2 linked regions of the Caenorhabditis elegans genome follow. The protein of the gene in region 2 binds, or shares a complex with, the protein of the main gene of each other region. Each region holds a gene or a part of one and is shown on either strand. Other genes may lie near its edges.

The links.
Region 1: the proteins of lat-1 (region 2) and tol-1 are in contact, whole or in part, in a crystal structure (PDB 8SUF), measured with the Caenorhabditis elegans proteins. Residues at the interface, in NP_001366731.1 of Caenorhabditis elegans: Thr42, Leu63, Gly64, Asn65, Phe69, Ser70, Val71, Leu75, Asp79, Val81, Ile85, Asn86, Gln88, Tyr126, Glu128, Lys130; in NP_001020983.1 of Caenorhabditis elegans: Ile709, Cys710, Gln712, Tyr713, Gly714, Asn715, Cys716, Asp717, Val760, His778, Ile781, Gly782, Lys802, His805, Thr806.

What each region holds. Positions count from the first base shown.
Region 1 is NC_003279.8:442,310-445,909, reverse strand, and holds the start of tol-1 (TIR domain-containing protein), read right to left. Parts: upstream 1,908-3,600; 5' UTR 1,893-1,907; coding exon 1,801-1,892; intron 1,657-1,800; coding exon 1,534-1,656; intron 917-1,533; coding exon 826-916; intron 1-825.
Region 2 is NC_003280.10:8,893,947-8,900,851, reverse strand, and holds the start of lat-1 (Latrophilin-like protein 1), read right to left. Parts: upstream 4,012-6,905; 5' UTR 3,974-4,011; coding exon 3,865-3,973; intron 1,258-3,864; exon of another isoform or gene 1,108-1,257; intron 1,055-1,107; coding exon 868-1,054; intron 434-867; exon of another isoform or gene 83-433; intron 1-82. UniProt on the Caenorhabditis elegans protein: Has a role in the establishment of anterior-posterior polarity in tissues during embryogenesis. Required for the alignment of the mitotic spindles and division planes. May have a role in cell death events.

The sequences.
Region 1 (3,600 bases), on a different chromosome or scaffold from region 2:
ACTGTTTTGGCCGAAAATTTTTTTTTTTTGCTTTAAAATCCCTACTTTTGACCTAAAAAATCTCTATTTTTGGCCTTAAAATCCCTACTTTTGACCTAAAAAAATCAATTGTAGGACATAAAAATCCCCTTAATCCTCCTCTCTCGCAGTCCTCCAAGCACACCGGAGGTCATCTGTGGCCGTACAAATGACAAAATGACGTAACATTTGTGCCTAATTAGAGACATCCGAGTGGGGGGCTCTTCTTAAGAATTTGGTGTCGAGAGGAGGATGAATAGAAGACAGGCACACCTTTCTTTTTTGATGGTTAAGGTAATTAGTGATACGGTTATTTGCTCAAAGAGTCAAAAAATGGGAAAAAATTACTGTTAGCCTTCCTCAGATATAGAAGAATTTTAATTTTTTGAATGAACTTTTCGTAATTTTTTCTTGTTAAATTTTCGATAGAAAAGTTCATTTTTTGAATATTTTCCGATATTTTTAAAATTAAAATGGACATATTTATGAATTTTTAAAAATTTTTTTTGGAAAATTTAAAAATTAAAAATTAAAATTTTCGTTTGTTTTTCTGGAAAACTACAGAAAAAAATCGCCAACGAATTTTTTTTGTAATTTACCGGTTTTCTCGAAGAAAATTAAATTTTTTTGAAGTATTCCAAAAATCGAATTTTTGATTGAATTTTTTGAACATTTTTGAACACGTGAAAATCTACTTCAAATTGAGATTTAGGCCAATTTTTCCAATTTTTCCGAAAATTGACCTCTAAATTTACACGCAAAAAGCAGATGTTCTGTAGAGAACAGCTGATAATATAATAAACTCACCACTATCCGCAGATGATGCAACGCGGTTAACGACTTGAAGTAGGCATCCGGAAATTGGAAATTATTATTATCACAAGATATGAATAGTGATCTGGAAAAAGAAAATAAGTTATTGGTAAATTAAATTTTTCATAGAAAATTGGGAAAAAATCTAGTTTTTTGTTGTAAAATAGTTTTTTTTTGGAATAAAACACATTTTTAATTCAAAATTATGGGAAAATTCAACTGAAATTTTGCTGTAAAAAAAAATTGAGAATAAGGAGGAAATTTGATTTTTTCTAATTTAAAATTTCGAAGTTTTAATTATTTTAATACATTTACCGTGTAGAATAAATGAAAATTTTATTTTAAGTTTAAATTGTTTTAAAAATTCAATTTTAATGCATTTTTCGTGTAAAAAATACTAAATTTGTCAATTTTCAAGGAATTTTGTGAGCTTTTTACTGTTAGAAATTGAAAAATTATGTTTTTCGGAAAAAAAAATCCAATTTTAATGTTTTAGTGTAAAAAAAAACTTTTTTTTTTGTTTTCAGAAAATTTCGAACTCGAAAATCCAAATTTTCTATGCATTTTTAACATTTTTTCGATAAAAACCACCATTTTCTTGGAAATTTTTTCGTATTTTCCGATATCTTGATTTAAAAATCACATTTTTTCCCATTTTTAAAAATTTCTCAAATTTTTCATTCAAAAATCAAAAAACCTCACCGAATATTAGCAACCTGATCATAATTCGACGACGCAATAGGTGTAATTGTCGTGTTTTTCGAAGAATAGTCGCATAATAGGAGTTTAGACGTCGGCTGCACCGGATCCGGAGCACATTTACAGCTGAAAAATGGAGTTTGAATTATTTTTCTCTGAAAAATTCGGGATTTTAGCAAAAAAAAGCAGTTTTAAGTGAAAATTCAGGCAAAACCCCCGCTTTTTCACAGTAAATTCGAAAAAAATCTGATTTTTAAGCGAAAAACTCACAATTTCGGGCATTCGTCACCGTTAGCAGCGGCCGACCGACATATATTAATTACTAATAATAAAAATAGGAATAACTTCATTTTTCTCCTCATTTTCGTTGTGTCATGTGATCTGGAAATGAAAAAAAAATTTAATTTAGCATTTTTTAAGCCAAACTAAATGAGTAAATTATGAGAAATTGTAAGGGAAAAAAAATTAACGGGATTTTTTTTTGGAGGAGATAAATAAATAGTAAAAGATAAAAAGTACGAGCGCGCGCGCTCGCGGAAATGAGTCAGAGCAGGTGAAAACTTGCAGGAAATTGGGATTTTTAGCGGTGGCGGCGGGGAAAGTAGTCCAAAAATTGTATAAAAATCGGAAATTTACATTTAACTTGGATTTTTCAGTAAATTTCCTCTAAAACTACACAAAAAATCGTGAAAAATCAGTCAGAGATGATAAAAAAATTCATTGATAAAAATTATAATAATTCAAGTGCGCTCCATCGAACATTGAAATCTTGGAGGGAATTCAAATTGGAATTTTATGCAATTTGAGACTTTCCCATGGGATTTGCAATTAAAAAAGAAAATCTTATACAAAAAATATAGGAAATTTAAAAAAAAATTGTTTACTATTAAAGCAATTTCCCCACTGGCGCTAGTTTTGCCGCATCGAATCGAAGAATTGACAACAATCAAGGAGTGAGAAATGGAATAAATGAAAACCGTTTGGCAGCAGCAAACCGGGTATTCTCTGTATGACAAGTATGCGGAATATCATTATAATGGAATGGATCAGGTGGTGGTGGTTGTTGTAGAGGGGGAGGAGGAGACGGGTGAATGGTCAGTTGGGTGTCTAGGGGGTGGACAACACCCTGAACAACACGGAGACACCCGGGAGGGCAGAAGGGGGCGGGGTTTTGAAGTGTTTAGGAAGATGTTGGCTCGGACCGGGTGCTGCCGAAAAATTAAAAAAAGGGATTTTCGAATTGAAAAGTAACAAGACATCAGCTTTTTTACGTGGCCTAGAAACATTAAAAAATCGGCCACTGTCAGATCTTTCTAGAATTTGCTGACGATCGACTTGAAAGGGGGTTCTATAGTTCCTCAGAGCAGAAATGTTTCTAACTCACTTTATGAGGGTGGCAGAGTTAACTCTAGAGTTTTCATTATGCATATATCTACGATTTGGCGAGTTCTACGTCCAGGCTATCCCATTACGGTTTGATCTACAAAAAATGCGGGAATTTTTTTCCAGAACAATTGTGACGTCAGCACACTCTTAACCATGCGAAATCAGTTGAGATGTCTGCGTCTCAACTCCCGCATTTTTCGTAGATCAAAGCGAAATGGGACTTTCTGACTCCGCGTGTCCAGAACTAATAAATAGATTTCAAAATTATTTTTTGAGTTTTTCTTTCGAAAATCTTGAACTCGATAATTGCCGAATTATCGAATTGCCGAACTTCGACTTCGATTGTCGCCCAGTCGTGCTTCAAACCATAGTGAAAGCTTTTCGCGACGAGACCCAAGAAACCAAATAAACCGTTCCACTTACGACAGATATAAATCTTCAGAAATTTTTCAAATATGCCTACAATTTGAATGGGAAAACTTCAAATTTTTCGCAATCATACAGCTTCACATTTTAACGATAAAACTTGACATCAAGGTTATTGCCAAGACATGCCCGCGGTAGCCAATATATTATATTAGCAATGGTCCGGAAGCGATTGTTATCACTATTGCGTGATTAACAAGACAAAATGCGAATTAGCACACGGGCGAGGGCAACCACTTGTGGTGGTGCCGTTTGACA
Region 2 (6,905 bases):
ACAATTCGAAGAAAGGCGCTAGAGTCATTTCCGTTTCCTCGGTACTCTCTTTCTTCACTTCTTACTATTCTTCATCTTTTTCATTCTTTTTTCCAACGAACGAAGACAGATTTTCGAGACAGCTGCAGTTGGAAAGCAGCACGATCGCGGCCTCAATTCATTCAAAAAATGAGAGGAAAGGCAGTCATTTGATAGTGTGAAATGATGCGTTTCGACAAGAAGGCAGCACGCCGTGAGCGGCGTCCGGGGCATGATTTCCCCCTCCGGTAGAAAAATGGTAGAATAACTGGCAGACATGGAGGTCGGCTAATGAATGTTCTCTTTTCGACAGCACTTCGTTACAAAAAAACGGGCACAAATGACAAACGACCTTGTGTAGACAACGGGAGGCTGATCGCGCACACGAAGGCAATATCATCATCATTTTTATAGCGGTATTGTCTGTGACTGCTCGGCCAGGATGTGCCAATTTGAATTATTCGACCGATTGCTGTACATACATGGCCGGATGTTCAATTAGTGTATTCACAATGAATTATTAATCTTTCACCTGCCACGGATAAATCCCATGCCAAGGTCTTTCTGTACAGTTCGCTTCAACTGATAAGACTGAACAATGGCACTGGGACATAAAACTATACGTGTATTTATGTGTCGGTCAGCTCTTCAAACATGTTCAACGTATTCCAAAGTCCGACAAATACAACAATTGATAGTCGCGAAAAGGTGTGTGAGTAAGCTATTACAAATGCGGCTTGCACCTATTCATAACTCGTTGAATATGTTAGTTAGGTCAAAGCATAGGGTGCCCCCCACAAGTCCCCAGAATAGTAATAGTAAAGTAGCCTTTGAAATTTTAAAACTTACTTCTTCTCCAGAATTGACTTTGTCTTGTGGTTTTGGCAGTTGATGTTGGATGGAACGATGTCATTGTCAGGAAGGCAAACAGCGACAGAGAATCTTCCATAGTTTCCTAGGACAATCGAGATTACTTTTCCAGCAGGACAACTCAGTTCAGCAGCTTCACCATCACATATTGTGTGTGAGATGGTTCCTGAAATTTAATATTTATATTCAAATTGCCCTCAAAATTTTTTTTCAATTTCCGCGAGGAGCTTCCTTCTCGACATGACTTGCATAATAATAATTTTCTTATGTTTGTTTCATTCATTCATTCATATGCATACCGTTCTTCTTCATTTTCGTCTCCCCCGTCTGCTGTTGCGCAGCGCGTGCTCACGTTTCAGTCAGCGTCTCCTAATTTCTCATACTATCTATGTGAACAGTATAACAACAGGCTCTCCATTGCGACGAGTAGCCTCTGTCCGATCAGGGCAACATTACGCCATCAAAACCGTAATCGTACACCGATTCACCTGGTTAACGGAAGAGAAAATGTTAGGCCCGTTAGGATAACTGTTTTGTGGAAAATATCCGGCAGTAAACGATTGTTAGGCTCTTAGTCTCAACTAATTCGTTTAGAAGCTGACGATGACACTGGCATACCAATTACGAATTACGTGTGTGTGTGTGTGTGTGTGTCTTATTCAGAGATGTGCTCCCCTCTTTACCAGTCATAAGTGGCTCTTCAACAACTTTTCCATCATCACCGGGCGCCTCTTTATTCAATAAATTGTGTTCTACTAGGAGCCATCAACGAAAACGACACATCGAAACTTGTGGGAATTCGTCGCATGTGCGCGAGAAACCAGTAAAAGCAAACAACGAGAGCCGCGGATTGAGTTTCTTTGGCCCTAAAACGCCGGATTCAGATTACATGTGCCGTCGGGAGAGGATCATGAACAAATGAATAATTGAGCTATGGGTCACCTTTTATGACCGTTCACATTCAAAAAATAAATGAATGATAGATTATAGCTCTAAAGATATAATGCCGCCAGACACAAAAAACCTAAAAGAAAGAAGGCAAGTGAGCCGCTCGTTTTATGCTCTTATTGTTTCGAATATGACAATTGACGCCTGCCTGTTCACAGCATATTACTTACTTGTCTATCAATTCAATCTCGGATGCGAATGGATGCACACACACCCGCCAAAAAGGGAAGAGATGACAGATAAGAATCTCGGACCTTTTTCATATATAGATAAACACAGCCCTGACCGCCTGACGATTGTGCAACTCAATGTTTCTGTCGCCACCGCATCCATCAGAGTGCTAATCCGCGAAACCGACATATGCCTACTTTCGACACCTCCTACTGTGAAAATGACTACCATGTGTTGTTTTACTTCTGCTAAAAAGTGCATCACCAAAATCGGCGGCAGCATCTAATTGTAGATACGTCTGTTTTCGTGCAAGCTGTCTTTCTTGCCCTCCACTATCTTTCCTTTACTTGCCCCTCTAATTGACTCAATTTGGGTGACTAGCAAGAAGCATCAGCAGGAAGGAGCCATCTTCAGTATGTTTACTAAAAGTATCGGTGATCACCACTCGGAAACTGCTGGGCAGATGAGTAGTCTGTCGGCAAGATCAAAACTCGAAAAAGTTTTTTATGTACCAATGAGATTAGTAAGCATATCAATCAGTTATATTACTACCACTACTATTATTCGAGTTTCCATGTTGTGACAACGCCGACAAAACAGTTTGAAGTGGATGCACTCGAGAAAAAAAACTTTGAGACAGTTGTCATAGAAATGTGAATGATTTTCCAATATATTAGTTTCTAATTGATGAGTTCGTTAGCAGAACAAATTAATTCGAGGACACAACCACCATGCCATCGAAACCAAATGCGCGAGATTTGGAACAATGCGGGGTATTGTGTACGTCTAATTTGTTGTGCATCCTCACAAAATTATGGCTGCAACAATGTCATATATACCCTCCAAAAATGTCCGTATTCCTGGATAAGCAAGCAGAAGCGGGGGGCTAACGATCATTTGGCGAACGATAACAAGGGCAGGTGGTAGTGGAAATCATCCACAGGTGCCTTTTCCACCCAAATAACACCTTAATCCGACCCGTACCTAGCAGTTGATGAGGACAATGACTTTCATATAAACAACAATTCAAGTGAAAAAGTAGGAGTTGCAAGCGCTTTACATTTATTCAATTCTAGGTTCGTCCCAAATGCAAACAAACCCCAAAAACCGTCAAGCGGAAAGAAACTTCCATTTCGGAAGAGAATTTGAGGGAAACTCTCAAAAACGTAGGAATGATGCCTGCCACCCTCTTTCCCTCTCGACACCTTTTCTTAATCCCATCTAGGCTGGAAATATATACATCTCGAGAAGGAGGAGGCACGCTCATCCAAACAAATAAATATTTTGCAGTTTCCATTTCCTAGACTGATAAGTTCGATCAATGACGAGTGGTGTTCTAGGACAACTATTAATATGGCGGTGCTCACCAGGAGGTCCACACAGAAATGTGCACTTCCGGACCGGTAAGATAACATTACGCAACAAAGGCTATGCTCACCGCTCACCAGACCCCCAACCGACAACTGCACGATTAACACTTTTGTGGGATGGAGGTAGTGGTGTTGGCGAACTGGGACACATACAGGAAGTCGGCTCGATTTTGGACCAAGGACCAGGATGTTTCCGTCCCCCGGGAGACGTGTCGGCGATGCATAATTAAGAAAATGACATGATCTTTCAAGTCGGAAACAAGAGAATAAGCATCGTTAACTAGGCGCATCGTTAACTAATCGGCAATGATCTCAAGTGTGGAATTGAGGGGGAAAACTGCAGCATTAGAATAGAAGAAGAAGTGTTCCTATGGCGTTTTCACTTTTATAAGAACTATGATAGCTTAGTAATTTTTTGAATTTTTTTCTAATTCATTTAAGAACAAAGATCCGGTCATTTTGAAAATTTTAAAATCAAAATACTCACCACTTTCATCCGTTGTCGGCTTGTTGCTGGCGAAAGTTGGAGTAACAGTCAGTAGACAAGCTACCAGAATCGTTTGGAGCAACGAATAAGTCGTTTTGTTACGTCGCATCAGTGCATACTATTTTGTTCGTCGAGTGTAAGAGTTTCCTGCAAAGAAGAAAAGTTGGAAAAATAGAGCAATTATATTAAACTTTTTAACAATAAAAAAAGTTCTGTAACAAAAGTAGAACGGTAAGAAGGCAAAACTAGAGAAAGCATAGAGGAGAGTAGGGAAAGATTGGCGGAGAGAACGAGAACGACGGGCGGACAACCGAAAGGAGGAGGGGCAGCTGAGAAGTAGGCGGTGCTTTGGGAAGAGGCAAACCCATCGGCACGTGGGCAACCATCTGGGATCTAATGACGTGGGAATCCGAACTGTAACAAGGTATCATGAACATGGAAATTGAGCTCCAGGGAAATCTTGGTGTCATGGGAAAATGAAATTTAGATTAATGGAGATTAACTTAGAGAAAATTTACTTAGAAAAAAGAATAGGAAAAGAAAGAAGTACTAATTTTTCTGCGAAGTTCACAGAAACAGACTTTTGGACCGTGCGCCTTTAAGAAGGCATCTTGTAAAATTACGATAAATCTCAAAATAAAGCTATTTTTCGATTGAAATAAACAACATTTTGAACGAAAATGAATTTAATAGATGAAAAGTGATGAATCACAAGCATCTACGATATCTCGTGACTGTGCTAAAAGCTGATAGTAGGGAAAAAATCTAAAAATTCCATCCTTTCGAAATAACACACAAAAATTGAAAATAAATCGGAATGATTCACCGATTTTACAGTTTTTGTTCTTCTACCACGATCAAGCCGCTACAGAACAGAGGAAATTGAGTGCAGTTGGAAATATAAAGGGCACCAAACGCAGGAGTAGAAGAGAAATAGAAAGGAAGAGACAAAACAAAGATGATAACTGTATTTGCTTATGGAAATGGACATTTAAAGGCATTCAGCTGTCACTAGGAACATGGTTTAGTAGCAAAAATTAAATAATGGAAAATTTCAAATAAAACGTAACGAGAGGTCTAGAATTATAGATTTAAAATGTTTTCCTAGTATGACTGTAATTATTAATTGTGGAAGAATAAATTAATTAAAATGGTTTTTTCGCACTACTAATGGACAACAACAACAATAAAACAAAGACCACTATGACAGTAAGACTAATGAATTAGATTCGTTGCAGATTTGACACAGCCAATCTGGTTGTAAAACACGACGAGAGGGGGATCAGCAAGATAAATTGACACTCATATCGCCTTCGAATCTCGGGCTCTCACCATAGAGACAATTGTGGTGTCGGGTGGGATGATAGTGGGAGAATACGAGGTGAAGAACAATTATGGCGTCGAATGACCGCGATTAGGAAAGGTTATCGGAAGATACGATCTTTGCTCAAATTAGTGGCAGATCTCTTTTTTGGTACAACAATAGAGCTGCATTTCGAGAGAATCGATAGGAGTCTGCTACTTAGACATCGTAAAATGTCTAGAGGTATTATAGACTGACGGAAATGAATGATGATTACCGTCTGTTGCCAAATTGACTGGGAAACCGATATTCTGAAAGAGTTATAGACGGACCGAAGAGCAAGACTGTTATGACACTTGGGAAACAGAAGGACACTAGAACGTAGATAATATTCTTATGATCTCACTTCCGGTTATAAAAATGCCTAATAATTATGAAAATTGGCATAATATTGAGGCAATAAAAATGAGAAAAGATTAATCAATTTTTTTAGATTACCACTTATTCGGATTTTGAACAGAAAAATGAGTTGCATTAGATTTTATAAAAATGCTGAGAAAGGTTCGAAAATGTTCTATTAGAATGAGGTATATTTTTTAACATAAGTTTTTTCCTAAATAATCTGAAAAATATATGGAACTTTGTTTTTGGAATATATATATATAAATTCTTACAATTTTTGTGGAACTTGTACAAAACACAACAACAAGAAAATCAGTATTTCACATGGCAATATGAGTCAGAAATAGAAAAAATGTTTATAAAAAGTGTTCAAAAGACGAATGTACTCTTATCGGAATACTTTACAACTTGGCATTATAACAAACGCGTAAATCACTTGTCTGCTCGTTTTTGCGCTTCAACAGGTGTCTAGCCAACTCAAAGTGATCAGAGAAAATGATTGATAAACATAAAATTCAAAAGTTCTAATTTTTCTGCCAATTCAAAATACCACCAACGGACGGGAAAAGGCAATAGTCAACCGTGGGATTTCCAATAGCGGCCAACTTGTGAAGGTAAAAAAGGCACGCCATTCAGCCGTAAGAATAAAAACTGACCACCTTTACTTGAACATGGCAAAAGAGAATGGGAGCGAAGCCATGTTTTACGACAATTTTCCGGATGCAAACAAGGTGAGCTTTCGAGTGGAGCCATGGAGGCCGCCAGAGCAGGAAACGCGGTTAGCCAAGATTTTAACGATCTCGTGTGCTGAATTCATTGGCTTGGAAAGGGTTGGCTACTTGAAGTCACATTTCATCAGATATGAATTTACTGTTTGTGCACTTTCAAGAACAAGAATGAGGGAAAACTAGGATTATGTATGAAAGTATAATGTTTGCAATAGATACGACTTTAATATGTTGAGAGATGTATAGAAGTCCATGCTAAGTCGTTTAGTTGTGAAGGGCACTGAACCCGAAAAAAACAGGGACTGCAATGGGCTTATGAGTTGGTAAACAAGAAGAGAACTACTGCCAGTTTTGCTTTTTTGGAAAAGTGACTCTTTTTTAGTCTCTACACCAAAAAATGCACATCAGATTAGGGAAAATAGGCGATAAGACGGATGGATGGGTACCGGAAGCTCCTAAACTCGTCACTCGGTAGAGATTCGATCAACCGGAATACGAGAGAAACATCCATAAATCGACGGGCTGCTATAAATCAAAAAGTGTCGAGGATAAAAAGTAATATACTTATTTCAGTAAATGGATCAACTATATATAGCGTTGAGAATTTC